Arabidopsis thaliana: one gene and its partners. The protein of the gene in region 2 interacts with the protein of the main gene of each other region in a pairwise test. Each region holds a gene or a part of one and is shown on either strand. Other genes may lie near its edges. The genes, in order: ATG8E, AT4G30790, G1 and ATG13.

Region 1 (6,311 bases), on a different chromosome or scaffold from region 2:
TGTTGCATATGGTTCAATCTTATTGCTCCCATTAATGGTTTTATAATAGTGATATGGTATAATTAAATAAGAACTGGGGCATGCATCAAACGACAATTGTTGTCAAAATAGAGGGAAATTAAAAGTTAAGATAAATTTATTTCGTAAGATCAAAAATTCAGTGATAGCAATAAGCTAATCTAAAAGTGTATATCAGACTTAAATTTAACTCGTCTTTTTTTCTTTTGGTGCAATATAGAGCGGTGGATATAAGTAGCAAATCAAACAAAAATGACATTAGGATATGAGCAAGCATGATAAATAACAAAAAAAAAACGTTTTGGGTCAAGTGACTATATGTTATCAGGCCTACTAGAATTCGGCCCATTAATATTAATGACGAGTTTCCTTAGCAATCAGTGGGCCTGGTATACAATAATGCGATGATAATAAAATGATTTAAATCCTTCTTTTTTTTTTCTTTTTTTTTTTGGACTAAAAAATGATTTAAATCCTTAGCACCGGATCCCAACGGAAATTGCTTCTCAGAATAGTTTTCTTCAGTCTCCGACTATATTTATTTCATTTTCCGATCATCGTACTATACACTCCCCAACATCGAGTAAACAAGCTTAGTTGTCAATTTACGAGTTCCAAAAGAAGAATCCAACAAAACGCAGTGTTTCGTTACTTCTAGACCCATCTAATTTCTACGTGTTGTATGCAACAATGACGGCTTTACCCTTTCGCTTTCTAATGTGGTCCATGTTGTTCTGGACTTATAGGTCCATATGGGCCTATGTTGGGTTGGATAATAATTAACCAATAAGAGACCACGTAGAGACCCTCTAAACCAAATAGAGGCGTTGAAGCATGAGCACGAATAGAAGAGCGTTATGATTGAATGTCATTTATGGACGAGAGGAGAAATACTAAGAACATAAAATCCATTAACAAGCTCAAGCATTACATCAAACTCAATATTGAGAGAACAAAGGTTCTATCATGAACAAGCTCAAGCATTACATCAAACTCAACAGTGACAGAACAAAGCTTTTTCTCACAAAAACAATAGATAACAGTAGAAACAAACATATAAAAACATAGCAAACCAAAGAGATTTTTCTCTTTTAAAGTCTCAAATCTTCAAGAACATTGGAAACCATGAGGAACTTTCTTGCCACAATAGTTCAACAGCAAGGTTAGATCAATAGGAACATTGAGATTAATCCCCAAGACATTGGCTTTAAGAGCGGTGCAGAGACAAACCGCAGCTTCAAGATTAGCAAGACCTTGAAGAAGTGTACAACAAGGAGTCTTTGGTGGAGAACCAACAACAACGTTAACTAGGCCCAATAAGTCTGCGCAAACACCAAGCTTAAGTGTGTCGGTAGGACAAGTGGGTTTCACGGCAGGAGCCTTCTTAGGCGATTTCGGGGTTTTTGGGGGTTTAGGAGTAGTTGGTGGACATTTTGTGGAGGTTACAAAGGTGAAGAAAAGAAGATTAAGTGTAATAAGAAGAGCTGTAACTGCAAGAGCCTTAGAAGCCATTGTAACGTTTTGTAATGTTTTGGGATGAATGTGAAGGAGAGATATAGGACATGGTTTATATAGAACAAGTTATTACTAATTACATATACCGAGAGATAAAATAGCATGTGAGCGACTTAAGAAAATTAGAGTAAGAAACAAAACTATCCAGCTAGTTGGCTTTTGCAACTTGAGGTCTTGAAATTGATTAGACTATTTTTTAGGAATTGTTAATTTATTTTTCTATCACAGAAAGGGAAAAGACAAGATTTTTGTCTTGTTTGTTTGTGAAAGAAGAGGCTCCACAAACTTTGAGACAGAGTGTCTCTCTGGGTGGTATGCATCAGTTTGATCATAGTTGTGTAGATCCATTATACGTTGTTGATAAGATATTGTTTTACATTGCATTAGTCCCCATTCCTTTAGATTTTTTTATGAATGATAGATCTTTCAGCATCAACCGATTATATTTCCAAATGCAACTGGACAAGATAATCCCAAAAACAAAATTCAAAGAGTCTACATCTCATCATTACTCGTTTCCAATATTTGGTTTGGTCTAGTTTATCCAAATTTGTAAGATACCTTCTAGAGTGGTCCGTTTAGTATCCAAGAAAGAATTCATGTAGTAGCATCATCAAATGATACCAGTCTAATGAATGAAATCTTTGAGGGAGAAAGAAAGCCACACAAACTTATAATACCAAAGGAAGATAATATTATAAGATTAGTCTATGTACATTTTAACAAGTGAAAAGAAGATAGTAATCACAATTATTTGAGAAATGATAAATATTGAGAACAAACTATACACACAAATTGAAAGTTGGGAAGAAGCATTAAAACGTGGCGGATTCTCAGAGGTCAGAGATTAGATTGAAGAAGCACCGAATGTGTTCTCGCCACTGTAAGTGATGTAAAGGAAGCCATCTTCGTCTTTCTTATCCTCGTAAACGCTTGACATTAGCTCTCCTGTTGGAGGAAGAACATTGTCTACGAAAATGAAGATAGCTTTCTCTGCACTTAGTTTGATTCTCTTCCGAATCACATACACAAATTGACCAACTGTTAGGTCTGATGGCACAAGGTACCTGCATTTATCAAAATCCAGAACAATTCCAAAATTACATACAAGTCTTGAAAACATTGAACAAATAACAAGTTTAACATGATCAACAAAAGGTACTTACTTCTTCTTGTCTATATTTGGGACTTCACTTTTCTCAGCCTTTTCCACAATCACCTGCAACCAAACTACAATGTAAGATAATCTGAATCTTGTAGAAAAAACAAACAGTATTGGATTCTCAAACAACGAAGCTAATGTTCTGTAACCTAAACTAAATTTCACCACGAAGATTCATGATATTGTTTGTGAAACCGAATTCAGCATACATTGATAAATACGCAAACACAGGTACAAAAACATAAGAAAACCTTACAAGAACAGAACAGAACTGATCAAATTAACAAAAACAACACAAAGACAGATGCATCCCAAACTAAACTATTAAATTACATACACAGACTCATGCTACATCATAAATTGAAAGACACGCAAAACAGAGATCTATTACCATAAGAAAACCTTACAAGACCAGAACAAAATCAGATAAAAATCAAAACAAAACTTACAGGAATTCGATCAGGGTATTTCTCCCTGATCCTTCCAGCTTCAGCTTTTCTCTTTTCTGCACATAAACAATCTCTAGAAATCAGATATACATATACAGATATGAACGCTGATACACATGTATGCCTCTATACTGATTCTAGGTCACAAAATCGAAACAGTAAAGAATAAAAGACTAACCGAAATCGTTGTCCATCTTAAAGATGCTTCCTTTATTCATCTTTGCTTCTGAGAATATACACAATCAAAGAAATTGAGACACAAAACCCTAATTTTGTTTTCAACACCCAAATCGAAATTCCGCGTCTTTTCGGGGAAAAAAATGAATTCTAAATCTAGAGAAATCAAAACAGAGTATGTAACAGAGAAATCAACAGAAAACTTACAGAGAGAGAATTTGATGGAACGGATAAGGATAAAACTCTGGAAGAAGAAGAAGAAGATGATCTACGGATACAAAGTCAAAAAAAGGAACCTTTTTCTTTTCGTCTATGATTGGATAACGTTAACTCTATATACACTTGTTTATATATGTCTGTTAGCTGACGTGTTGAGTTATTAGACACGTCAGCTTAGCTTGTTCTCCAAACAAACAAAGTCATTCCATTATTGTTCAAACAAATTTTTCTTTCTTTTTGTTTTAAGAATTTTTGTTAGGTCAATGTCAATTCTTTTAATTAATTAATACTACTATTACGTAATAAAATACCAAATTTTGTTTAATTTATTGTTAGTTTTTCCTCATACTTTTCCTTTTAGTGTAGAACACGTCTTTGATTTGCCTTTCCCTCACTTTTTCTTACATTGAATTTTTTTCCTTTCGATGTGTTTTTTTCCTCCAGTTTATATTGTTAACGAAACATGTAATGCGAAATTCCCATTCGTAGTTCTCACGTGGCGGTGTATTGTTATATATATATATATATATAACAGTGTCGGTGTTTAACTTTATTCATTCATTATTTGGATAAAATTGAATAATTAGAAATAGAAAGACTAAAAAATGAATAATAAGGGTTGCTGAACTTTAATGGGCTAGAACCGACAAAAAAAGAAGAACTTTAATGGGCCAGAATAAGTAGTAAGTGGGTCTGTGAATCGTAAGTTTATGATAGATACGAGGTTTGATGAGACATGAGATAAAGGCCCAATACATATGTATGACATATTCCAAATATTTGTATTGCGTATCGATGTAATTGATACAAAATCGTTGTGTTTGTGCTTTCTGGTGACTCGCTCCTCTGTACGATAACACAAAGATATTCGAAAAACATAATTTTCGTTGTCTTACAAAACAGAATTGGTCATATGGAGTTATTCAATTCACCAAACTCTATGAAAATTTGTCAGTTCAATCATTTTGGCTCTACCAACAAATTTTTTGTTAAGAGGTCCCTCATCAAAGCTAATAGCTTTCTGTTTGACCATGTCTTCCCTGGTACAATCATGTTTAAACCTATCAATTTTCAAAAACGTGTAGAGTAATTTGTATGAATATATCATATATGCCTCACAATATTTCATAATCTCCGAAAATCTTTAGTAATAGAGATGTTAAGGAACATAACAAAATAAAGAAAGGTAGTATATAATTGGAGCACTTCATCATTACCAAATGATTAATGGAGAATGTATGTAATAGTGCATCGTATAGTTTTATATTTCAACTATCCCTAGATTTTAGCAATAATAGTTAAGATTTAATAATGTACTAATCGATGATTATCTTGTGGTGTAGTTGTGTTGGTCGTTGTCTTAACAAAAGAGACCATATATTATAACCATGTAGTAGCATTATTGTATTTCTGTATTTGTTACTTTCTGCCATAAGCATATAAATCCAAACATAACATCGATACAACTAGGCTAGGTATGCCATGCCATGTTCATCTTAATTGAGATTTCATAATTTCATTACGAAATTTCTACATCTAGAGCTCCATTACCGATATACTTTTCCTATATATGTTTTTAAGTGATCGATAATAGTAACTCTGCGCAAATGCCACTAATAAGGTCCGAACCCTGTGTATGAGACGTAATAAGAAGTTTATTTTTTCTTTTTTGTGCAAACGTTTAATAAGTTAAGACTTCATATAAATAAAATAATATTGGCGGAAAAAATATAAATTATATAAAAAACAAAACAAAATTCATATTGCATACTATATAATATACAATTGAATATCTCTACACAAGTGGCACGTTAGTGGTGTCCCTTCTTTAGCTAGTCATCACCTCTAAGATTGAATAAGCAAGTTGGTAATTTGTATTCTAAAAATAACAAAAAGGGGCGAAAACTAATTTAATGCGATACACATTTTGTTTTAGGACAGAGACACAATAGTGGTGGAAACTCACATGGAGGTTTGTGATTTGTCTTGGGAAATAAACCATGTCTCTCATAATGACAATGCTCAAATAATAATAATAATAATCTGTTTTTTTCTTTCTGGTTTAAGAACGTAAATATATGGTTAACTCAAGGCAATACTGATACATAATAATAACATAATAAGCATGTCTACTTTACATTCATACACAAGCAACCAAGAATTTCAATCTTGTCTTGGAAATCCAGCTGCCCATCTCCTTGTTTGATTTTCATTTACTCCACTTATTGTTGTTAAATACATACATAACCACTTGATTTATTGGTAATGCTATTATATTATTGTTGTGTGCTTGTTATGGTTGTAGATGTAGTAGTGAATTAGATATAGAATAAACAAATATGTTAGCGTGATCCATGTTATGTCATCGAGGTGTTTCATTACCACGAATTTTCTTAGAAATTGTGAACAACATATTGGGACCGTGCGATTAATTTGATTTGTGTTGACAAGGAAAAAATTGTTTTATAATTTTAACATAAGTTTGGTTTCCAACACCGGTGTTTAGTACTGTTTTAATATTGTATACCTAATGTAAGTAGTTTATTAAGAATGGACAAAATGTACATTAACTACTTAATATTTAAATGAACATTTGTTTTAAAACAAATAGCAGAGTGAAAAATTTGACATAGCAATGTCATTTTCATTGACCAAAATTAATATATCAAAGTGCGATTCAAATAATATAAACTTATAGTTTAGGTTTTTAACAAAATAGTGGAAATGTTTCGAGATGCTTTCACACAAAACAATACTAGTATTTTCTTCAA
Region 2 (10,592 bases):
TCCATCTTTGTTGGAGTTGATTCAGATGAAGATAACGCATTGTGGTGATCCTAAAGCAGCTGAAACGTTGAAAGCTGGTGCACTTGGCTCTGGTCTTAAGAGAGAAAGTAAAACTATTGCTGCTGCTGCATCAGTTGGACCGACTTTGGCGCCAGGAAGTATTGAGAAGCTGAAAGCTTCTAACTTTCCTGCTTCGCTTTTGAAGATCGGGCAGTGGGAGGTGAGTCCTGCGAAATGTTTCGTTTTGATATGTTTTCATGGTGGTTTCAAAATCTGACTTGACTTGGTTTCTTTTTTTGTGCAGTATAAATCGAGGTATGAAGGTGATTTGGTGGCAAAGTGTTACTTTGCTAAACACAAACTTGTTTGGGAAGTGTTGGAACAAGGTCTTAAGAGTAAAATCGAGATCCAGTGGTCAGATATTATGGCTTTGAAGGCAAACTGTCCTGAAGACGGACCTGGAACTTTGACTCTCGTGGTATAACATTCACTCATGTTCTTTTCTTTTGCTCAACATATCACTCTTGTTCAACTTTAATGATTTGACTCTTTATGTTTCAGCTTGCTAGACAGCCCTTATTTTTCCGGGAAACAAACCCACAGCCTAGAAAGCATACCTTGTGGCAGGCGACATCAGATTTCACTGATGGCCAAGCCAGCATGAACAGGTACAGGCATTTCATGTAAATTTTTTCTGAATAAATTTGGTGATGTCCTAGCTTCAGCTAACGATAGTCTCCCTGTGATCTGTTAGGCAGCATTTTCTGCAATGTGCTCAAGGGATAATGAACAAACATTTTGAAAAGCTCGTTCAATGTGATCATCGTCTGTTCCATCTAAGCCGACAGCCGGAGATAGCTATTGACTCTCCCTACTTTGATGCACGGCAATCTATTTTTGAGGATCCAAGTGAATCAAAAGGCCATCCTTTTGGGAATTTGAATCTTAGTACAGGTCCTTCGATCTCTGGGACTCAGAATTTAGCATCTCCTGTTGGGGCTCAGTCATCATCTGAGCATATGTATCTGTCTCATGAAGCACCATCACCCAGCTCAGGTATTATGATGACTGCTCGCTCATTCTAGTTGCTTTCATAACTCGTTATTAGAATATAATTTTTCATTTTCACTTTTGTTGAACCTGATTAGGATTGTGGATTTATATTTCTGTTTGTTTGCTTCGTTCATCTCTAGTGATAGATGCTCGTGCAAATGAAGGAATTGGGGGTTCTGAAGCAGTCAATTCAAGAAACAGAACAGATTGTGGTCAGATCGAAGCACCTGGAATACACCAATCTATGTCACTGAGTGATTTCCTTGCGGTTCTCTGTGATACAAAAAACACAACGGATTTGAATCTGGCTGACGACGTAGATGGACTACACCAATCTATGTCAGTTAGTGATTTCGTTGCATATTTATCTGATTCAAGAAACATAACTGATTCAGATCAGATAAAAGTACCTGGACTACACCAATCTATGTCAGTGAGCGATTTCGTTGGACTTCTCTCTGATTCTGCTGGTGGAAGTCATCCGGAACATATGGAGAAATTTGAGATCATGAAACAGCAGTTGCTAAGTGATAATATCCAGTTCGAGGCACCAGATGAGAAGTCTCTCATGCCAAGGGTTAACTCTTTATTCAACCTCTTGTACAAGGATCCCAACGTCGCTGCAAACTCACAGCTCAATACCGAAATGTCGGTTGGATTGAAGTCTGAACCCAAGGGAATTGTTTCTGACAACAACAACAACAACAACAACAACAACAGAGTTCTTGATACAGCTTCTAGCAGCAAACCACAGGGTATGTTAAGGAAAGACTCATTCAGCGATTTGCTATTACACCTCCCCCGGATCACATCCTTGCCAAAGTTCTTGTCCAACATTTCAGAAGAAGATGGTGATGCATATAATAGATAATTTATAGATACCGCCTTTCTTTTCTGGATTTGGCAAGTATAGGAACCTGGACTAGTAGCTTTTCTGTTTTTTTTTTCTTGTAAATCAAAATTATCACTTGGTAACTACAACCCCCACAGGGATTTGAAGAAACATGTTTTGATGATTAATTTCTGTATATTATTCCCAATATAAACCAAAGTTGGCAGAGGCAAAAGATTCCATTATTTATCCTAAAACTTTTTTATTTTCTCGTAATATTTAGTAATCTTTTTATTACAGCATTCAAATTATAGCAGAGTATGTACAATACAAGGAGAAAAGATTAAACTAAGATCAGTGATCATCAGCTGTACATAAAGAAGAAAGATATGAAAATAAAAGAAAGTTAAAGAAGAGACAAATGAAACCCACAAATCATATAAAGGGGCTGTCTGGTTTTAGATTGTGTTATTTGAATTCAAAGTATTTACATTTTTTGTTCTTTTTTGGGGGGAGGGGGTTTCTTCCATCACGTCTATCTGCTGCCTTAGGAACAAGCAAAAGGATCAGGAAGCTTGTTGATGAATAGCAGTGTCAGGAAGCATTGCTATTGTCACTATGAAGTATTCACATCCTGAAGAGAGACCATAAGGGTTTGATGTTGTTGTTGCTGAAGTTGATGTTGAGATTGAACTTGATGCCAGAGTTCTCGAGCCCTGGTCTGAGCAGAGATGATGTGTCTTACCCGCCTCAGGAGAAGCAGAAGCTGAAAGTTGTGATGGCAGTTTCACTATTTGGCGCTCTATGTGGACAATCTGTCCAACAATGTATGTAGGCCGGCTTGGGAGATGATCTGTGAACAATGCCTCAGATTCAGAGGACAAGTAGTAATTTGGGCAGTTCCTGTTGATTGCCTCGTAATGCCCTGCTTGGTTTAGCACAAATGCTGCTATCTCATGGACTTCAAGACGACCGAATGATATCTTTTCCTTATTTGCCTGTCATCACAAGAATTCACCAATTTTCTCATTCAAAACCGAGGACACTCCAAATTATGAATGTGTAGTAAAAGGAGAAAGAAAATTTACTGCAAGAAACCATGACTGTTACTAGAGATAACACGAGTCTACCTGCTTCCCAAGTTGGTGTTTAGTGTACAATGTTTTCACCAGCTCTTTCTTTTCCTCCAAATCCTTTCTTGTCTGTTCACTTGTGGCTTCAAGATTTTGGCACTTCTCCAATAATTCCTCCCGGTGTTTGGAGAGGAAGCTAACTTTGTCTGCCAGGACTCGGATGCATTTCCGGAACTCAGTAGTACCATCATCTTCATTTTCATTAACGGAGCTGTGAAATTCCCAAGTAGGAGAAATGCAAATTCAGAGAAACATTTTCAGAACAAGAGCTTGAAAGTGGATAAGTACTGCCATATACACAAGAGAAAAAGAACTAAGGTTATCTTTTTGGGAAGCGTACAGATGGGAACTTACTTGGCTAAAGCTTGAGCCAAAGTTCGCAAGGAGTCAGCAAAATCAGCAATCCCACTACCAGCACAGACAGAGCTCCGGAATCTTTCAAAGAGACCTCGCATCTTCACAGCTGATGCACGAAGTGCAGTATACTGAGAAGCTCTACGATCAGCAGCACAAAGATGGGTCTGGGCTTCTTCTCTTGCTTCATGTAAGCAGTTCTCCAAATGCGCACAATTCATCTACAACCAAAATAGTAATGTATACCACATCAGAGGTAAAAATTTAGAGGGAAAGGTTCCTATAATGTGTAAGGTGCACAAGCTATCTGGTGACGCAGAAATAGCAGAACCATGCTTCTCTAGATATTTCTAATTGAAATGTCTGCCAAATCACAAACATTAAACTGTTCATAACCCTCTCGTTAGAATGTACAAGTAAACTAACTGAGAGAAACGAAGAAAATTCACAATTGAATGACTGGTCAACCAGGTGTAATCCAAGATATCATGAAAGCCTTGATCTATGGCTCCTGGAACTGGTTGGCTTCAACTGGTTTAGGCATTGTGCAAAAGCATATTGAACCTTCCTAGTCCAGATGATTGACATCACTACCAGTAAAAGATACACAGAAAATAGACCTGATACTAGCACCTTAGATACTAGAATTTATGAGACGTCTAGGACACAGCAAATACCAGCAACCAAAAGAGTAACAGAAAATGGTGTAAAGATAGATAACACACCAAAAAAGAAAGACTAGCTCCTAGACTAACGATACAATGAATAGATTATAGAGTTAGAAAGATAAGAGAAATCTGCCAAACCTGGGATTCTTCGAGAAGCTTCTGATTCGTTTCCAACTCTCTGCTCAAATTGGATACCTCTTCCATAGCACCATTTAGCTTGGACTCCATTTCACTCAGTTTATTGGACTTTTCCATCAGCTCATTTCTAAGTTCCAAGATAATATCACCACTGTCTTTGGCATCTAAACCTCTGCCAGTTGCCACATTATCATCCAAAGATTTTTGTGGGCTCTCAGCTGTCGAACTGTTACTTAGAAACACACCCATTTCCCCAGCCTCACTATCTTTTCCACCTTTCTCGTTGTTTTGCTGGCTTTCCAGCATCGATGAGTCAAGCGGTTGACTGAGCACCTGAGAGGAATCCACCATATTCTCATCCATACCTTCCCGAGCTTTACATGGCTGCTTGCTAGTAAGATTTGAAACACAAGAGACCTCATCCATTGGTTCTGAACCAGATACATGAGTTTTGTTGCCTTCCACGTCACTTGAAGCTTCTGCTTTGTATTCACTAACTTTTTCATGCATAAGGTTTAAGCCAGATACATCCTTATTATTATGTCTCTGTCCCTGTAGATACTCATCAGAGAGACGTTGTTCCAGTTCACGGATGCGCTTCTCATATGAATCACAGTGCATTTGTTTTTCCTTGAGCATAAGTAGAAGATGTTTCTCATACTCATCTTTGGCCTGCAATGCCTCTGCTGTTTTATCTGCAGCATTTTTCAACACATTTTCTACTTCACTTTCATCCAGTACCTCATATTCAAATTGTGGGCCTAATGAACAGATCCGAGAGATTGCAGAAGCAAGGTCAGCTTTTAGTTTTGCATTCTCAACTTCCATCTTGCTGGTTCCAGCTATCTCTATTAATTCAGAGGCTGCTAGGATATCATCAAAATTGTCTTTGTCAAAAGTGTCTATACCTATCTCCTCAGGCTCAGCGGAAAGCGAGCTATCACCAGACATGGTCAGTGAACTCTTTAAGGATGCAATCTTCGAATGTAACCCAACTAGAAACTCAGGAGCATATCGATCAACATCTGAGATTTCAATATTGAGCAAACTAGTATCATACGGAGCAACATTGACATCACACTGAGTAGGAGTATCGTATAAACCCATTGAAGCCAACACGTCACGAGGTACAAAGGGGCCATGGGTTTTAAGAAACTCCTCACGTTTCCTGACCTCTGTTTCCCTCTTCATAGCAAGCTTCTCTGCCAATTGCCCAGCCATGCCCATGTAAAGCTTCATAGAGGCTTTTCTTCTCACCACCTCTGCAAGACAGGCCCTATAAGCGGGGCCAACACCACGGACTAACTTCAAGTCTGCAAATAAGTCATCCTGGCGAACCATTGCCTCTCTAAAAACGGGAAACTGTAACTTAGCATCTTTGATGATATATGTGACGTATGTTATCTTTTGCATGTAACCGTGTACAAAGTTGTTCATCTCATTCTTCTTGTTCTTGCAGAAATCCAGTAATTCTGAAATTGAGTTATAGCAAGCTTGCATTTTGGGAAGGTGATTCTTGTCATGCACTTCGTACATAGGACCCAGGGCTGAAACAGCATCATGGGGACGCAGAGATGAGGACACTTGGCTAGACATACAATCATCCACAAGTTTCTTAACCGTATTGACATCTTTGCTGTTTCAAGATTTATAAAACACAGTCAGATAAACAACATAAAATTTCCAACAGAGACATTATAAAAGGTGTTCCCAGCTAATGAAATGAACAAACCTGAGAGACTGCATAATGCTCTTTTCCTCATCAATGAAGCGTTCATGATCCTTAACAGTCACTTCTAAGTTCTTCATTGATAAAGAAGCCCTGCAGGCAAACAACTCTTCTACCTTGCGCTTGACCTCGACAAACATCTGCTGGAACTGTGCAATCTTATTCTCAAATTGCCTGTGAGAGCTTGCACAATTCTCCACAGCCTTTTTGAGGTTATCTTCCTTGACAAAGTCCAACAAGCATTTCCTTGACTCAGTTTGAAGATAAGGGTGAATCTTGGCTGACCTCAATTTCTCAATATCCCTTCCAAAATTCATCAGCAAATCAGAGTGGAGGCGGTGTTGATGCTTATAACGCTTCATAAATTCAAGAAAGTTCTGATAGATCACCCTGTAATACTGTTCCAGATTCCTAGTAGCAACTTCAACAGCCCGCTGCTGTACCTTTTGCTCTCTCGTTAACCTTTCGCAGTTCTCATGCTTCACAACCGTACAATTGTAGATGGTGCGGCCTTTATGGAAATGGTAACGAAATTGCCTTTCATACAAAGGTAAAGCCTTTAAAGCTGGATCCGATGCATCATCCAAGGGATGATGTTCATGTAATGAAGCCGGTGGTAAAGCATCAGCAACGTCTTGCAAATCTACATCTTCTGGTGATGGCGGATGAGAGTTACTTTGCAGCATAGCCTTGTTGAAAACAAACACTTCCCTGTCACTTGCAGGAAGTCCAAAAGCAGAAAGCAGCTTTTGTGGCTCAAGCTTCATGTCTAGCGAGAGAAGAAGCTGATCAGATAAGGCAATACCAGAAACAGATTCAACGAAACGCATCACAGATTCAACTGAAGTAGTCTCGCTGCATTGAAATTCAAACGAGTGGCCATTCTCAGCCACACAAAGAAGAAGCTTGCCATCATCGGCGAAACTCTCAGTGAAGCTTCCGCTCATCGTAACCACCAAAGGACCCAAAAATCCTCAACCACAGAATCAATACCCCAAAGTTCACAGCCAAATTAAGAAAGGTGACTCACCTAATCAAATTAGGAACCAAAATAGGCAAGGCTGCCAAAATCAAAAGCCCTCCAACACAAAATCCCAACCACGAATCTGTAAAAGCACAGAGCTTTTCTATATCCTCGATCCTTGACCAAAATCCAGATTCACCAAAAACCCTCGTCGAATCTCGGAGCTTTTGATATGTTTCACAGAAGACCTTTAAACCCCAAGTATCCAGACCTGATCACGACCAGGATACACACAAATTCAGAATCCAGCGTTAGCTAATGTTATCCCAAAGTACCCACCACGAAATTTTCTCAATTCTCGAAATTTAAGCGAAATTCACCAAATCAAATATTCAACCGAATCAATATCCCCCTTCTTTCGCCTTCGTTGCACCCAGAAGAATTTATCCTCTTTTTTGCTTTTTTTGTTTCTATTTAAAAAGGAAAAAAAAAATTAAGCTAACCCTAGAAGACGCAAAAGCAGACGTGATACGACAAAGGAACGCGATTGCGTGAAGAGACGAGTGTCAAAGTCGAAGAATTTATCCGAAGCCGCAACAACAAAGGATCAAACTTCTCTTCACGAAAACCTCTTTCACCACTATACTTAAACAATTAATATCCTCAATTTTCTTCTTCTTCTTCTTCCTCTTCCACTTCGCTTCTTCCTTTTTTCTAATAAATTTTTGACATTTTCAATAATGGAAAGTTGCGCAGAAGCTTCTAATGTAAGTTTACTCTCTCACGCAAACACCAGAGTCGAAGAACCCTTTCGCTCTTCTTCATCTGTTGTCCAAGACAAGACAAGATAAAGCCTGTTTTGTTATAAAAAGTAATTATTTTAATTTAATATTTTTATGGGGGAACGGTAATTCTGTAAGTATTTCAGTTTCACCCCAATAGTTTTGTAAATGGTTTAATTTACCCCTAACAGATTTAAAATTTACACAACCGGTTACATTTGGTTCGGTTTATTTACTTTGGTTTTTCACAAAAAAAAACACATAACGCAACCATAAATTGTACTGTATATGGTTTTGAGTAACGGTATCAACATGAATTTCGAACATGTAAAATCACATTGGATATACACAAAAATAACAACACAAAAGAATAACAAAATTATCTTTTTGGTTCCTAAAAAAATCTGAATCTTGGCGATACGGACAAACAAAAAAAAGTTCAATACAATAAAATTGTGGAGCCAATAAATTACTTTCATTTCTTTTGATACCAAAACTTATAACCAACCTTCAAAACCAGCATAACTCTACTCGTTAATCTTGTTATATTCCTAGATTTGAACCATCGTGGCCATATAACTGAAAGCTGAATTCATTGTGTAAGTAACGTATGATATGATAATACTATATGTGTATAAATAGGTGGACACATATATGTATATAAACTAAATTTGGCATTTCCTATCATATGATATGATAAGCTTGATTGGCATGTGATGTGGATTGGACCACACAAACACACACACACAGAAGATGTCCATAGGCCATAGGCGGTCCATTATTATTGGTAAGAAATGATTAAATTAAGTATGCAAACAACTTGACATTGAAAATGATCTTCTGAAAGTGATATTTCAATGTTTTCACACAATCTTGCCCGTAAATGGTTGCATTTAATTGTTACTAGATAGAAAACGGAAAAAAAGAACAATTTTTTTTTTTGTGTTTTTGTTTTTAATCTCTTTCTAATTATGTTTTTGTGAATAACTGTGTGTTTGATTAATATATTGTTTTCGAGATTCATCATATAATATTTGTTACACTCTATAGATGTGATAGAGTTATCTACTACACCAATAAGATATAAGAAGGCCACATTTTGATTGTAATTGTATATATGAATATCTGTGGACAAAAAGGTAACACTTCACATAATTCCAAAGGCTACGTAACATCAGATTGGTTGAGCTTCCACATGGGAATTCGGCAAATCTGTAATCTTCTGTATATGCCAAATATGTAATTCTTAGACTTAGGAAAAAATGGTCATCTCTTCAATAATAATACTTCTAATTAAATGGTCCTCACTAAAACAATGTTTACTTAATAAAACGTATAAACAAATAGATTTTGTTACATATAAAAGTATAACCTAAAATGCATGCAGCAAATTTCTGGATTGTTAGCATATAGCTCAGAACAATCGGAAACAAGATGTGCTGCCACCTGAAACAAACATACTAATATATGATTATTAAGTTGACATGACCTAAGGGGAATCTCGTGAGATTCGTTTTTTGACAACTTAGCTTTGGATCCAGAATCAAACATAGCCCACACAAATGAAAATAGGATAACATGGATTCCACAAACTCTTCACACTTTTTATATTATATATAGTACTTGTGATTTTATAATATAAAATAAACTATATCAATGATATTAGCTAGATATTTAATTCGCGTTGAATGTGGATACTACAAGAGTTTGATAGATTAAATTGATTCAAGCAAATATTTTAGTGGGAATTTGTAAAACACTACATCTTCGTTATCGACTTGGGTATGAGACTAAGAGACAATATATATATATTCTATTAAAAAAACTCACTGTTACATGCGATAAATGGATGAATAATTCTTGCTTAATTAAGTTTGAGTATATTACTTTGTTTGTGACAACCGAAATAGTGTCAAGAACTTCATATCACTCGGTGGATTACTTTATTTGATTGAATCTTAGTTGATAACGAAATCCTTTCTTTTTCTATGTATTTCGATTATTAATGTAATCAGAAAATTTTAAGTATTTTTTCACGTTATCCAACTTTGAGAGTACTGTCCTTGTGTTGGCCAATAAGTGGTTGAATATATGGTAAAAGTATAAAAGCTCCCATCATGTTGGACCTACTAGCTTTGCTATATATAAAATGTCCTGTCATTGCATAACGTACCACTTTCTGAATCTGTTTTACGTGCCTATCAATGATTTGTCTTTAACACTTACCGTAATATTCTACAATTAAGTTCAAGTGCCTAGATTTTCTAAATGTGTATAAAGACATTATATATGGCAAATGATCCTTTAGATAACCATTTCATTTAAATCAAGCATTCGATTCGCATTCATAGATAAAATACTATTCACCGGTCCAGTTCTAACTAGCCATCCAGTCTGGTTAGAAAGCAAAATTGTTTATTTTATTTTAGGTTCAGTTTTCAGATCGGTTTTCTAACACTGTTTTGGTTTGGTTCTCGTATCGGTTCAACCGGATTGGATAGTCATAAAGAATTTGAAGTCCTTAATTAAGCCCAAAACAAGTAGAGCCCATATATATACTAACAAAGCCGTGATTAGGGTTTTTGGTTTTCGTCAGAAGATTTCAAGGTTTAGGGTTTCTGCAATTCAACCATGGCAGAGCAGGTTTGGATCTACATTACATTGTCTTTATGTTATAATTGGGGATTGCTAGTTGTTGGATTCTCGTTTTCTGGGTTCTTTGATTTTGGCTTTTAATGATGGATTGGTGTGTTTGCAGACGGAGAAGGCGTTTCTTAAGCAACCAAAAGTTTTCTTAAGGTAATTGTCACACCTCAAAAATTCAACTGCTTTGTATTTTGGCTATGGTCTCTTTATGCTTATGATTCAAATGTTCTATCAGCTCGAAGAAATCTGGTAAGGGAAAGAGGCCTGGTAAAGGAGGTAATCGTTTCTGGAAG
Region 3 (6,210 bases), on a different chromosome or scaffold from region 2:
AGCAAGAAAAATTTCATAATGAATCACGCTAAATTCTCTCAGGCTTCGATTATTTGGAATTTTCAGGCGATGGATCAGAAACGGAGCTGAGAGTTTTGTTACCGAAAGTGGCGTGAGCAGAAATATGAAGATCGTGGTGCGATGAGCCATGAGAAACAGTGATTCTGATGGTTTGAGCAAAAGCGGCGGAAGCAGAGTCGGGATCCTGGAGAGGTTTGTGGTCGGAGGAAGCGGCGTCGTCTCTTCGTTGGACGAGCATACCACCAGGTCTCACCTCCCATTCCGATTCTTCGGTTGAATTATGCATCATCGTTTTTCGACAATGAATCGGAGTATGAGATTAAAGTATAAAACCCTTTGGGCCAAAAAAAATTAGGGTTTTCCTTGTCAGGGTATTGATAGACGGATGATGCACACCTCCTCAAAACATACAAATTCTCCTGATAACACACATGTGTTTCAATTGTTATATATTTGTCTTTTTTGGTAATTAGAATTTTTAAGGACTAAATGAACCAAATATTTTCAGAAATTGTAACAATATTTTTTTTCTTCTTAATATAGATGTTTTGGTTTTTCACATATGATGATGATTTGTGAAACGTCAGAAAAAAAAAATCAATAAGTTTAAGATTGCCAAAAATAGGTAACGACTGATTTTGGATCCAGCCAACCGGCCCTGGATGGAATGATTCAGTGTCAATGTATATGTATATAACTCACGCTTTGGCAGGATTTGAGGCAGGATTTGAACAAGCCCAATTTTAGACAGGTCGGCCGAACCGCCACAATGCATATAGTGAGAGATTTAACTTGATATGGTCCCCAACCAAAAGAACTTATAGGCCTAAAATCTGAACTTTCTCTGAACCAAAAAACAAAAACTATCTACGAGGAATATGGAATAATCTAGTTAGTATAGGGCAGCAAGTATAGTAATGGTGATTTGTCCCATATTCAAAATGGACCAAGCACACAATAGCAATCGAATATAGTAGTGACAAATATCGTAATGCTCTTGTTCCATACTTGATAGTCAGTATTTTTGATGACTCAATCATATACCACTCGTTCCATACTTGATAGTCAGTTTTTGTTGACTGAATCATATACCACCCACGATAAATTTGCTATACAATGAGAGACTGATGCATATATAAAGATGCACTTAAAAAAAGCAAAAGCAATAGCGTAACTGCGGAACACTTCAAACTACAGCTACATTAGTAGACTAGTAGTTGGTTATCAACCAACAAGCCTAAGAGAAGTGCCAAAACAGAAGCCAATGCCATGATTCTAGAGGCAAAAACTAGGCACCTAATCGACTCAGAAAGTACAAACTTGAAATCTCCAGGGCCAGAATTGCCTAGTTGAAACATAAGATGCATAAAAGGAATGCATGACCATCTTCAAGATTGTCAACAAGCTCAACCCATATTTATAAAACAACAAAGAAAGAGCTTGGAACCTCCAGAACAACTAAGAGGAAGCTCTGAAAGACCTGTATGTTCAACTCTTTTGGCTATAGTACCTAGTCATGATAAGAATAAGGTCACACAAGCTACAACTTTGGTGATACGTTTACAATTATATACCCACGACCTGATGAAGCTAATAAGATTCACTAGATCAATCTAATCTGTGTGCAGCAACAAAACATAGCTTCTCTAATCTGTGTGCACATCAACAACAAACAAAACATCCAACAACACAATGAATCAAGCAGCATATTTGATCCCTCGTCAAAGTGTTCTTTATTTGATCAACACAACAAGAAAGTAGATTAGCTTATAGCTTTGTGGAATCAAACAAAGCTATTGTATAGTGTATCACATTTCTCCACTTAATTCTCAAATAGACTCAAAAATCAAATCTCTGTTTTCCAGGAATATAACATTCCAATCTTCCTACTCTTTTCCAGAAACTATAATCAAATATAACCTTATAAGATGAACAATACTCACCAAAAGCTCGAACTTGGGGAAAATTTTGATTAACTTAAAAAGAATGAAGTTTATACCAATCTAAGAAGCCGCAACTTCAGCAGCTTGTTCAGTCGCCGCCGCTTCAATAATTTTCTTATTCTTCTCAATCGCCGCCGCAACTTCCTGTGGCATATACTTCTCATCATGCTTAGCCAAAACTTCAGTCGCCGAGAAGAAACAATCGAGGTTCCTAGCTTTCTTCGAAATAGGTTTTGTAGAAACTTCCTTCCTTACTTCATCTGTATACGGCTTAATGAATCCTTCAACCACAACTGAATGACCTTCCCTAAACAGATCCGGCAAAGATCCTTTATACCTAACCAAAATATCAGTGATCAGATCAGTGATCACAAACTCCATCTCCTGTGACGCCGCCGGCTGCGCAACGCTACCTTCTAGAACCAAACCACCGAGTCTGAATTTGTTCTTTGTTGGATTCTCTGCGAATTTCTCCATAGCGTCTGATGGCGTTAGGTAGAAGACAAGCTGATCCTGAAATTGGTTAAGGACGATAACTACGAATCCGGCGATGCAGCTGAAGGTTAGCGCGTAGGTCCATAAACGGCGATTCTGCATCTGACGCGCTTTGGCTCCGATATCGATTTTCTTAGGACGTGTTGGACCGCGACGAGCGATGGAGAGAGATCGGAGGAAGGTTAAGGATGATAATCGCGATGGATCTGGTGAGGCGGTGGTCAATGAGTGAAAAATCGGGCAAGGTGGTGATTCGAATGACGATGAGATTTGAGGATTTCGTTGAATTGATCGGAGGATTTGAGAACTTCGACGGAACAATAACCTAGCTGCCATTTTCCGGGAAGATTGATTTTTCCTCGTGGGAATCAATCAAATTCCCGAGAGCGAGAGGTTTATGGGGTTTTCTGGAAAAATGAAAAAGAAGCCACAAGCCGCCCCACTGAAGAACTATGGACCACGTCAAGAACCCTCTCTGTGGTTTAGAGGGTTCAATCACAATTTCTTAAGTGAAATTCTGATTACTATTCGTTACAATCTCAAAATCAACCAATCCAAAAATCTGTATAAGCTTCGATTATTGAAGAGCTGAGTTTTTTTCTTCTGTCACAAATATTTCTCTTCTGTGGGATCAAATCCTTACCACGTAAACACATTCAAAGAGTAGTTTGTTGGTAACAAGTGTTTCTAAACAGAGTTATTGTTATAGCCTGAAACCAGATAAGTATTTTTGATTAGAGAATGAGATAAGATTAGGACAAGCAAAGAAATGATGATGAAAAGTGCTTTGTGCAAAAATATGCACAAAGGTGGTAAACTATTGTTTGTTTTTTTTTGTTTAAGAAGAGACTCTCTTGAAACCCAAACATACAACGAAAGAGGTACCTCAAGTTTCAAAAATTCTTTAAAAGAAACAAAGACAAATCTTCCTACTCATTCTTGAGCATTACTACTTGCGTCCATTGGCTCAGCCTCTGTTGAAGCCTCTCCTTTCTCTCCCGCCTTTTGGGCTGCAAAACACCAAATTGAACCTTTTTAATCAACATGTGGATCACGTCATATAAGGTAAAAGTCTGGAAATTTATTTTAAGTTCTTACCTTTCTTCTTCTTTCCACCACCTTTCTTCTTCTTGATGCCCAAAGCTAACCACCCTTTGATCTCAGGGTCTTCGATGGTCTTTTTAGGAAGTTCCTGAAGTGTATGTGAAGTGATCCTATCTGATCCATTTGGCATCAGCAAAACTGTGAACTTAATCTGAGCAACAAAATCCCCTGGTAGAAAACCAAAACGACATGAGCCTTGATATCAAGATTCAGATAAAAGAGGTTTATAGATTCAAAACCCTTTCATCATCCTTACCAGGCTTCTCGTAAAGAACAGGATATGGTTGCAAATGACCATGGTTCACACACTCCACAAGTCCAAGCCGTGCCCTTTTCTCCTCCAGTGACCTGTATTGATAATACTCTCAGGTAACGTTAGCAAGTGAGATAATAGTTTAAGGAATATAAAATGCTTCAGAAGGTACAAAAGACACCTTGCAGTGAATGGCATACGGGGGAAGTTCTGTTTAATTTCGCTGATTATGAATCTGGAGGCCTTCATCTTCAACTGATAGTTAACACTTTCATCTTTCTTGTAAATAGTTGTTTGCTTCTCGTCTAATAGCTTTGGCTGCAAAGTCAAAGATTGTGAGAACAATGGCAATAGACAAAGGTTCACCAATAGTGATCGGGATGCGATAAACAAAAGAAATTACCTTGCCATCACCAGTACTTGCCACAATATCTATTGCATAGACTTCATTCTCTTCAAATTCCACTTCGTCAACAGTTGTTTCAGGGCTGGATACACTAAGCACAACCTTGTTTCCATCTATCACATGCTGTTTCAGCTGGTGGGAAAGAACACCTTCAACAATTTTGCAGTCATAAGCTGCAGCTACCTTCTGAATAGCTTCAGTTACATCAGTGTTCTGCGATAAGAAAAACAGAATATCAATGTCTTGATTGCAATATGTTGTAGTACTAAACAAGAAACTACAAACTCGTAGCAAGAAACTTTATTTTAAAGAACTTTCCCACATCAGAGTAACTACGGCCTCATTTGGATGCGAATCCATAACAATTACGGTCTTCATCCAGAAATCTTTTCCCAAAACAATTTACATTTGAAGTCCGCTAAAAAAAAAAAGCATCGTGCAAGACCAAGAGAGGAAAACCTTAGACAAAGTTCCAACATCTCATAGTAAATCCAACGAGGGATCAGACTAAAAATCAGAATAAGAAAAATCCCATCAGAGTAACTATGACAAAAAAGCATCATATGGATAATAATCCATAGCCATTTATTAAGTGTTCATCATCTGGGTTTTGTAAAACCTTGACAATCATTCAAGAGGCAGTTATAGTACCAAAAGCCTATAGTTTCAAGTTTAATGTAAGAGTAAAACTGATGATACCTTTTTTCCAGGACGTACGAGCCTTAGAGCAACATCAGCTGCAGTATTTGCGGCAGCGATAACATCAGCCTTACGCCCACTAAGAGGCCCTTCTTGAAGAACATGTGTGTGACCAACAAGGGCAATGAACCCATCAATATGACATCCCATATCGCTGCAATTGAGAAACGCAAAACAACATCAGAAATAACACAGGTGAATCATACAGAAACATCTAAAAACAGGTATTACTTGAAGACAACTTACATTTTAACCATGTCACCATCTTCCAACACAGACTCATCACTAGCAAGCGGTGAAAAATGACCAACAGTGTTGTTCACAGAAATGCATGTAGGGAACGCAACACCTCTCTCAATCTTCTTCTTAGAATTCTTGTACATGCTTGCTGTTTGCCTTTAATACAAAAACAGAAGAAAGAACAAACACATAAATATCTAAGAGTAATCCAAGGTCGAATCTACATTAAGAACAAATTGAGATATACTCACTCTTTAATAAAAGAGTCTCCTTTCTCACAGATATCAACAATCTTAGCTTTTGGTTTGCATTCAGCTAAAACAACCTGTAACGCCTCTGCAATTGAAAACCCAACAGAAATCAATACTCGATAAAGCTACACCTTCAAAACCCTAAATCCAAATCGGACTTAAAACAAGAAAGGAAGAAAGAGAGGGTGTATTACTGTTAACGATCTCAGCGGCGCTCTTGTACTTGGTGACGACTTCAGGAGAGGTAAGACTCAGCTCCTTCTCGTCTCTCTCATCGTCCGAACTCATCTCTGATAACTCTCGAGAATCGAAACAGGGGAAGCAAAAATGTTAGGGTTTAAGGAGGAGCGATTGGGGGAAAACTGGTGGAGAAGGAGAGAAATGAAAGTGTTGGCTCAAATAAAGGTACTAGGGTTTTCGCTATGTGTGCTCTCTTCTTCTAACGATGCCGTTTTGGATTAATCCTGTAACGCTTTTTCTTAATTGCGTTACTTTTGTACTCCAGTATGGGCCGAAGAAGGGAAGCTGTTTCAGAATTGTGGCCACTAAACATTTACCCTTAACCGGGCCCATATAAGCCCACGTCAAGTGGCGCTTATACGCTCTCCGTAAGAGAGCCAACATTTGGTATGTAATGTTGCAAATTATTCTTCAAGACAATAAATTCAAATATAATTCAATATTGTCCAAATATAGTGATGTACTTCAGTTGTGCACATAGAAACTCCACTAAACCAACTTTTAGATAGATGCATTCACAAATTTTCAACAATGTCGCGAAAGTCTAATCCACACCAG
Region 4 (7,858 bases), on a different chromosome or scaffold from region 2:
TTTAATTTATTCTAATTTGGTTCAACTTTGTTTAGAATGAAAAAAACACACACACACACATCTTTCTTGAAACAATTGAAGTTTCAATTCATTTTTGGCAGGCATGGTTTACTCCGGTACCGTTGTTGATTAAATAAGAAATGGTAATAATTTTAAATCTACGCATGGCATATTCTCATCGTCAACGGATACTATCTCAAATTTATTATGATCAAAACAGTTAATTAACAGCAAAACAAACAAAATCACGTCAAAATCGAATGTCAATATTCCTCTTAATTTGCCAGCACCACATATCTTCATACTATTTTAAATGATTTTTTTTTATATTAACAAAATAAATATATAATTAAATGAAATAGAAACAGAAAATGACCCTTGAACCAATGGAAAACTTACACAATTTCATGTTTCACGTCCCCTAAAGACTATTGTTATGGTTCCATAGAAAAATCATTGAACCATTCTCTCCTACGGTTTCCATTGACCACAAAAAAAAAATCCTGAAGTTGTGGAAAATTTCCATGAAACTCATGTACCCAAAAACCCTTTATTTTTTTCTACACTCAAGTTTCAATTAACTCTTCTACGATTCCTTTGAAAATTATGGTAATGTAGGATTTCATGGAATTTAAACTTCAAAGTTCTTCGATCCCCTTCGAGTCTCCAATACCTACTAGTTCCATAAAATTATTTTGATAGTTAAGATTGACATTAGATCTCACTCATATATTATTACTTCATTACTTAAACATGGTATCATTCCAAAATATTATTTGCTTCCATAAGAACTTTTGTAATTAAAAGTCAAGACAAAATATGCAACTAGTACCAGAAATACTAATTCATTAGAAATGGAGTTCAACAATTTGTATGATTATCAGAAATTCTAATTTATTCACTAGAAATGGATTCAAACATTTAATTTATGTTGAAAACATAACATATTACCATCGATCTATATACATGTATAGTGATTGTCACATACACAACTATACATAACTTATGAGAAATATCTTATTCTACGAGGAAGAGACGACAGAAGAAGAAGAGAGACGAGAGATTTGATCCATGAGGAAGAGCATGCGATCGTGATAGTCACGTGCCTGTTCTAAAGACTCGACCTCCAGCTCCGCCAGCTGCGAGCAGAGTTGCTCTTCCGCCTCCTCCGCCACAACCGTTCGCTGCCACAACTTAATCATTTCTGTCTTCATCTCCGCCACTTCTCTCGAGAGCTCTATGTTCCTCCTCCTTAGCTCATCCATCTCTTCCGCCGCCACCGTCACGCATCCTCCTCGGTTCGCCATTAAGATTCTTTGTGTAAAAGGATTTGATTGTGGTTCTAACTTTGTTTCTTGATTTGTTGAGTGTTAGGGTTTGATTATGTTTCTTTAATAGGCGCTTTGTGTAGCTTTTGCATGTCCAGGTTCAATGTATCTGCTTCTTGATTTTTATTTCTCCTCACTTTTGATTTCGGTCAATATTTTCTCCTTACTTGAAACTTAAACATACTCATGGCTTATGTATGCATAGACCACCCCAAAAGAGAAAATTTACTATTTTTTTCGAATGTTCAATTTTTTTTTTTCGTTTTTTTATCACAGTTTCGCTAGGTTCGATTTAAATATTTTTTATATGAAACTTAAACCAAATTAATTTCGAAATTTCCGGTTTATCCATGTTATTAACTAGTTTTAACTTTAAAATTAATAAACAAATTGCCGTCTATACAACTATAAATTGATAAATGGATAAATATATGTTAACGTGTAAATAGAATAGTAATTAATAATTCTAATGCCGTGGTTTACACAAATTCAATTTAATTATTTATAAATCTCTGGTCCGTCAAATTTGTAATAAAAATGTGTTGGTCTGATCTCTGATGTATGTATGTGGTATATATTGATTACATTATTGAGTTAGTAGGGCTTGAAATAGGTGACGTCTGAAGCCAATCACTATAGTGTTTCTCACTTTCTTGTGATATTGTGAGTTTGTGACAAGGATTTATTCTTTAGATTATTAACTAACAAGTTAATAATTTGGGAAAACGCTGCCGCTTAATATTGCGTTACTTATATTATGATTGAAGAACTATTATGGGATATTTCACGACATCATACATCTACAACCACTATAAAATAGAAAATTAGTGTACTATCACCAAAAATATATTTCTCCTGTTCCATGAAATTTGATGTTTTAGATTTTTTTTTGTTCCATAAAAATTGATTTCTTAGGTTAATATTATTATTATTTTTATTAATGACTAATAGAGAGAGGAAAGAAGTAGAAATTATATTATTAAATTAACAAAAAAATAATATAAATAACATAAAAGTTAATTTTCTTAATTTGGGTGAAAAACCCAAAACATCATTCTTTTAGGAACATAGAGAATATATAATAGACATTTACAACTTATACATTTGTTGATAACATGCAGTATGTTAGTTTGAATACATATTTTTCACAACAGTAATAATAACAGTTGTTAGAAGACTAAACTACATTGTAAGAATCGCTTTCTCTTGTAATGATACAATATAACATATAACATTTAAAATAAAATAAAAATCTGTAGGTTTTAAAATGTTAGCTACGTAGTCCATAACTTCAAAAAACCAATGGTTTTGAACTCATTCCATAGTGATGATTGCAAATACATATTATCTGGTTTACAAAAAAAAAAAAAAAGTGTTCCAATTATCTAGAAATGTTGGGCCTAATGCTTAAACAGTAAGCCCATATACTTAAACATCCGACTTGGCGCATTTGCTTCACCTTCTCTACCAAAAAAGCGCGTGAGATTCAGGTTCACTGTATACATTAAGAGCCTATTGTCTTGTCTCCTGTAAAACCAGAAGAAAACAAAAATTCAACAAAGGATAACAAGGACGTGGCTATTCTTCATTGGCTGCATTCACAAGAGTCGAATATTAATTAGTAATTTCACAGTATAGTACATTAAGATTAACGAGACCTATTGTCTCCTGTAATTGAGGCAACAAGATAAGGGTAAAACGAGAAAAACAAAAGAGAACAAAGACGTGGCTATTTATCATTGGTTGAATTCAATATTAATTTAATTAGTAATTTCACAGTGTTCTCAAATCGTGATCGTGTGTGTTTCTTCTACCTCTGAAACTCTTTTTGTTTATGTTGATCATCATCATCGTCATCTGCGTGTAAAACACACTCACGCCATCGTTGACGTCTCAGATCTTCACATAAAAGCTTCTATTATCAAACTCTCTTCCTCACGGTAACCCTAACTATCTGTAATTTATCTCTCTACACTTTCTTCATCTCTTAATCACCTTAATCATCTTAAGCTTTGTATTTCTAGATCCTTCTCCCAAAACAACGATTCGTGATCTCCGTTCTCATAGATCAGTTTCGGATTTGGATATTTCTTAGGGATTTGTGTGAGATATTTTTAGAATTGTTTCGATTTAGGGATTTGTGTGAAGAAGATGGATTTTCCAGAGAATTTGCCTTCAGATATAGGAAGATTAGAGCAGATTGTTTCTCATTTCTTCCCAAAAGCATTACACATAGTTCTTAATTCCAGAATCCCTTCGTTGCAATCTCGTGGTCGTACTCGTGAGCGTTTATCAGGTCTTAACGTTAGAAAAAGTGACAAATGGTTTAATCTTGTGATGGGAGATCGTCCTGCTGCGTTGGAGAAATTGCATTCTTGGCATAGGAATATTCTGGATTCTATGATTATTGATATCATTCTTGTCCATCCGATTTCAAACGATAATTTGGATGATGATGATGATCATAGTGATTCTGTTGTTAGATCAGCTGAGACTGTGATTGAGCGTTGGGTTGTTCAATATGAGAATCCTTTGATTATGTCTCCTCAGAGTTCTGACTCTGCAACGCGTTACCAGAAGGTTTACAAGAAATCTATCATTCTGTTGCGGTCTCTTTATGCACAGACTCGGCTTCTTCCTGCTTATCGTGTCTCTAGGCAGCTGAGTTCTTCTCTTGCTTCTTCTGGTTATGATTTGATTTACAAGGTTTCATCTTTCAGTGACATATTCTCTGGTCCTGTGACGGAAACAATGAAAGAGTTTCGTTTTGCTCCTGTTGAAGTGCCTCCTGGTCGTCTTTGTGCATCGGTTACTTACCGTTCTGACTTATCTGATTTTAATCTCGGTGCTCATATCACATTGCCTCCGAGGATTATAACTGATTATGTGGGAAGTCCTGCAACAGATCCTATGAGGTTTTTCCCTTCTCCAGGGAGAAGTGTTGAAGGCCATTCCTTTACTGGTAGAGCTGGTCGGCCTCCATTGACTGGTTCATCTGCAGAACGTCCGCATAGCTGGACTAGCGGCTTTCACAGACCTCCAGCTCAATTCGCAACACCGAACCAATCTTTTTCGCCAGCTCAGTCTCATCAGTTGTCACCTGGGTTACACGATTTCCACTGGTCACGTACAGATGCTTTTGGTGACAATCACCAGCTTTCACCTCCCTTTTCACCATCGGGTTCTCCATCTACTCCAAGATACATATCTGGGGGTAACAGTCCGCGCATTAATGTGAGACCAGGGACTGCTCCAGTGACCATTCCTTCTTCAGCCACGTTAAATAGATACGTTTCATCTAACTTCTCTGAGCCAGGTAGGAATCCACTTCCTCCTTTTTCCCCCAAAAGCACAAGACGCTCCCCTTCATCGCAGGACTCTTTGCCTGGGATTGCGTTGTACAGGAGTTCTAGAAGCGGAGAGTCTCCTTCTGGATTAATGAACCAGTACCCTACTCAAAAGGTTATGCTTCTTACATCTTATGTGTCTTGCTCAATGCAAGAAAAATATCACTATATTTTGTATTGCCTCATCTGATATTTTGTTGATTTATTTATATCTACTCTTCAGCTGTCAAAGGACAGCAAATACGATTCAGGCCGCTTCTCAGGAGTTCTGTCTTCGAGTGACTCACCAAGATTCGCGTTTTCTAGGAGCCCCAGTAGATTATCTTCCCAAGACGACTTGGATGACCCTGATTGTTCATGCCCTTTTGATTTCGATGATGTTGATGAGTCAGGACTTCAGTACAGGTTGGCTTTATCCCACTACCTAACTTGAATCATTCAAAGGAAATATTATATACTTGGATTAGTTTACAGAAATCTTTACACATAGAGCTGGTCAATGACAAGATGCCATGAAGAAAACACTAATGTGTTGGCTGTTTTGTTTAATGTGAAATTGTTGGCATTCACACTCTATACTTGGCCTTTCTCTTACTGTTTCTTTATCATTTTTTGGTCTGTCAAGTTCACTTCTTCTTGGGTTTTTTAGTCTTTGGTAGTAAGAAAATGACAGATATTTTGCAATTTTTTCGATGCAGCCATAGTCTTGACCGGAGGAAAACTTCAAGCTCTATATCGCAGTCGCTACCTCTAGGGAGAAGATCATCACAGGACGCAGCGGTTGGTGTTCTGGTTCACATGCTGAAGACAGCACCACCATTACGACAAGACTCAAGCACTTATATGGCGTCAATGTCTGGGGTTCAGAGAGAAGGTTCAGTGTCAGGTACAGAATCTGAATTTTCGATGGCTCGTAGCACATCAGATGCACTAGAGGAACTGAGAAACTACAAACAGCTCAAAGACTTGCTTCTCTCCAAATCCAAAAGTGGGTCTGGACCAACTCGCGTCCACTGAGCCAAATCAAAGAGCGATCAAGATATGAGTTATCCGATGGTTGTTTGTAGATATGAATTTGATGACGAATACTTAACTCTGTTGTATATTGCCAAAGAGCAATCACGTTTTGGTTTCTGTAAAAGAACTTGCCTTTGAATATGCACATAAAATAAACTAATCAAACTTGAATCTTTTCATTATGAAGTAGTGAAATTTATTGAGGGTTTTGTTGTTGTTGACAAATCATGTGAAAACCTTGTTTTCTCATCTGGACCTCTTTCTAGAAGAAACATGAAATACACAAATGTTGAAAACCGGTCACCTATACTCTTTTAAGATGAGTGTGAAACGAAGCAAAGAGTCACATTGATAGAGAGATCGGATGCATGATAGTTCCTACTGTGATAACAAGCTATTTGGGTATAAGGTCACAAGATGTGCAGCACAAAACGAGAGAGAGAAGAGTTTTAAACGCAATGCCCATTTAGATAAAAAGTACACCAAAAACACACACACAAAAGTCAGCTTCAAATAGCCATCCACAATAAGCCTTTGCATCTACACAAATTCAGCTTGTGCTAAGCTTTCTCCAAATCTTTGCGTTTGTTTTTTACACAAAATAAAGCTCCAAAGCCTTGCCTGCCTTTACAAAAAAACTGACCCAAAAAATGTGTCGTCCGTCTCCTGCACAACTACTGAGAAAGACAAAATCATAAGACCACCGCAGATAAGAAGAGATTTTAGTTTCGAGAAAGTAGCTCTTATAAGATATTTTACCTCCTCTAGATGGTCCAATGACTCTTTCTCAGTTCTCACGCATTCTGTTTTTACACTTTGATCACAAAGTTACAATTTCTAGCAGGCTTCAGAAGAGATATTCCCAGTCAATAGCGTCCCTCGAAACCCTTCTTCGATATCTTGAGCCCCCGGTTTCTTTTCACATAACTCATCTGTTAAGACATAAGATGAATAGTTTTACATGGACATCTCGCTAACCAGACAGCAGAATAATGGTAAATTTGGTTACCAGCAATATCGCGGTGTTCATGCATCTCTGTATCTCTCACCCAAAGCCTGTCGCCGGGGAATATGTTCATGTCTGCAAGGGTTGCAGATTCCTGATCAATCACTTTTGAGCCTTTGTGGAGTTCCTGGTTTTCCTTCATCACCTGCATATTTTATTGAAACCCCGTTTTGTTGTGTTTCTTCAAGTTATCTACAGAAACGAAAAAAACACTATGTCTAAAAGAATCTTACCCCAAGTAATTCCCATATCATCATCTTTAATTGGTATACAGTCGTTGTCGCAGACACTTTCAGGCTTGTCAGGTTTCCATAATTTGTTCTCCGAGATCGCTTTGAAGTACGCCGATCCACCTCAAAGCTAGAGTCAGATGCCTCTAACATTGCTTTTGGAGCTTCCTTTCCACGCACAAAACAGACAAATACATCTCCCTCAGAGTAACTAAGTTTCTGCATCAACTCACAGCTTTCTCTCTCTCCTATGCATTCCTCGCAAATCTAGCGAAAATAAAAGATCCTGTTAAATGCAACTCTAGTCATGAAGTCATACAATAATAAATGTGAATGCAAATGATCACACTTGCTTTTAAGAAAAAGAAAAACAGTATACCGTAACGCATCTGAACTTCATATATGGACCAATGTGAAATACTAAGCCAACATTGCCATTCAATATTACATCACACTCTCAAAATGTTGACCAAAAAAAAAGGCTCAAGATAATAATGCAAATACCTCTGGGGATGCCCTGAGAATAAGCTGTTGAGCATCAACGTCCATATTATCATCCGGAGAAGAATCCTTCTCAAGGTCAATGACGTCTGGGGATGAACTTTGGTCTGTATTGCCAACCTCAATAAAAGCAGATATTCCATTCTCCATGAGCCCTCCCCACTCGTCACAGAAATATTTCCAATCAAGCTCAGGGATGATTGTTAGCTTGTCTGTCTAGAAAAAGGTGCAAGAGTACTAGAGATTAGATCAAAATCAGAATTCCCCAAGTCTGCGTTTGACGCTATAAACAGCCAACACGAGAGAGGATGTAAACTGAATCCGACAATCACGATACCAATTTGTTAAATTCAGAACATGATTCCCTTTATTTCTCACTGAAAGAAAATCACACCACAGAACCACGGAACCATACTATCAGACACCTTA

The links.
Region 1: the proteins of AT4G30790 (region 2) and ATG8E come close enough for resonance energy transfer, tested with the Arabidopsis thaliana proteins (one study listed by BioGRID).
Region 3: the proteins of AT4G30790 (region 2) and G1 come close enough for resonance energy transfer, tested with the Arabidopsis thaliana proteins (one study listed by BioGRID).
Region 4: the proteins of AT4G30790 (region 2) and ATG13 come close enough for resonance energy transfer, tested with the Arabidopsis thaliana proteins (one study listed by BioGRID).

The regions. Positions count from the first base shown.
Region 1 is NC_003071.7:18,621,596-18,627,906, reverse strand, and holds ATG8E (AUTOPHAGY 8E), read right to left. Parts: upstream 3,644-6,311; 5' UTR 3,529-3,643; exon of another isoform or gene 3,371-3,528; 5' UTR 3,363-3,370; coding exon 3,323-3,362; intron 3,201-3,322; coding exon 3,145-3,200; intron 2,753-3,144; coding exon 2,700-2,752; intron 2,601-2,699; coding exon 2,381-2,600; 3' UTR 2,116-2,380; downstream 1-2,115. Other genes in the region: AT2G45180 (Bifunctional inhibitor/lipid-transfer protein/seed storage 2S albumin superfamily protein), read right to left, coding at 1,126-1,530. UniProt on the Arabidopsis thaliana protein: Ubiquitin-like modifier involved in autophagosomes formation. May mediate the delivery of the autophagosomes to the vacuole via the microtubule cytoskeleton.
Region 2 is NC_003075.7:14,990,932-15,001,523, forward strand, and holds AT4G30790 (autophagy-like protein), read right to left. Parts: upstream 7,719-10,592; 5' UTR 6,855-7,718; coding exon 5,911-6,854; intron 5,815-5,910; coding exon 4,179-5,814; intron 3,594-4,178; coding exon 3,373-3,593; intron 3,230-3,372; coding exon 3,016-3,229; intron 2,884-3,015; coding exon 2,452-2,883; 3' UTR 1,925-2,451; downstream 1-1,924. Other genes in the region: AT4G30780 (ATP-dependent DNA helicase), read left to right, coding at 1-220, 305-478, 562-668, 755-1,056, 1,194-1,924; AT4G30800 (Nucleic acid-binding, OB-fold-like protein), read left to right, coding at 10,285-10,296, 10,412-10,452, 10,535-10,592. UniProt on the Arabidopsis thaliana protein: Accessory protein involved in autophagy. Acts as a scaffold protein of the ATG1-ATG13 complex for faithful delivery of autophagic vesicles to the vacuole.
Region 3 is NC_003074.8:19,207,869-19,214,078, forward strand, and holds G1 (transmembrane protein G1P-related 1), read right to left. Parts: upstream 2,982-6,210; 5' UTR 2,796-2,981; coding exon 2,025-2,795; 3' UTR 1,647-2,024; downstream 1-1,646. Other genes in the region: BAG4 (BCL-2-associated athanogene 4), read right to left, coding at 103-310; ATG2 (metallopeptidase M24 family protein), read right to left, coding at 3,393-3,469, 3,558-3,758, 3,820-3,911, 3,998-4,134, 4,220-4,435, 4,922-5,075, 5,168-5,317, 5,413-5,497 and 1 more. UniProt on the Arabidopsis thaliana protein: Heme-binding chaperone that may be involved in cytochrome c maturation in mitochondria.
Region 4 is NC_003074.8:18,374,413-18,382,270, forward strand, and holds ATG13 (Autophagy-related protein 13), read left to right. Parts: upstream 1-3,066; 5' UTR 3,067-3,479; coding exon 3,480-4,849; intron 4,850-4,898; coding exon of another isoform or gene 4,899-4,912; coding exon 4,913-5,080; intron 5,081-5,373; coding exon 5,374-5,692; 3' UTR 5,693-5,862; downstream 5,863-7,858. Other genes in the region: LSU1 (response to low sulfur 1), read right to left, coding at 1,023-1,307; UBP26 (ubiquitin-specific protease 26), read right to left, coding at 6,530-6,624, 6,702-6,843, 6,932-7,195, 7,433-7,645. UniProt on the Arabidopsis thaliana protein: Involved in autophagy in a nutritional condition dependent manner. The ATG1-ATG13 protein kinase complex regulates downstream events required for autophagosome enclosure and/or vacuolar delivery. Becomes a target of autophagy under nutrient starvation.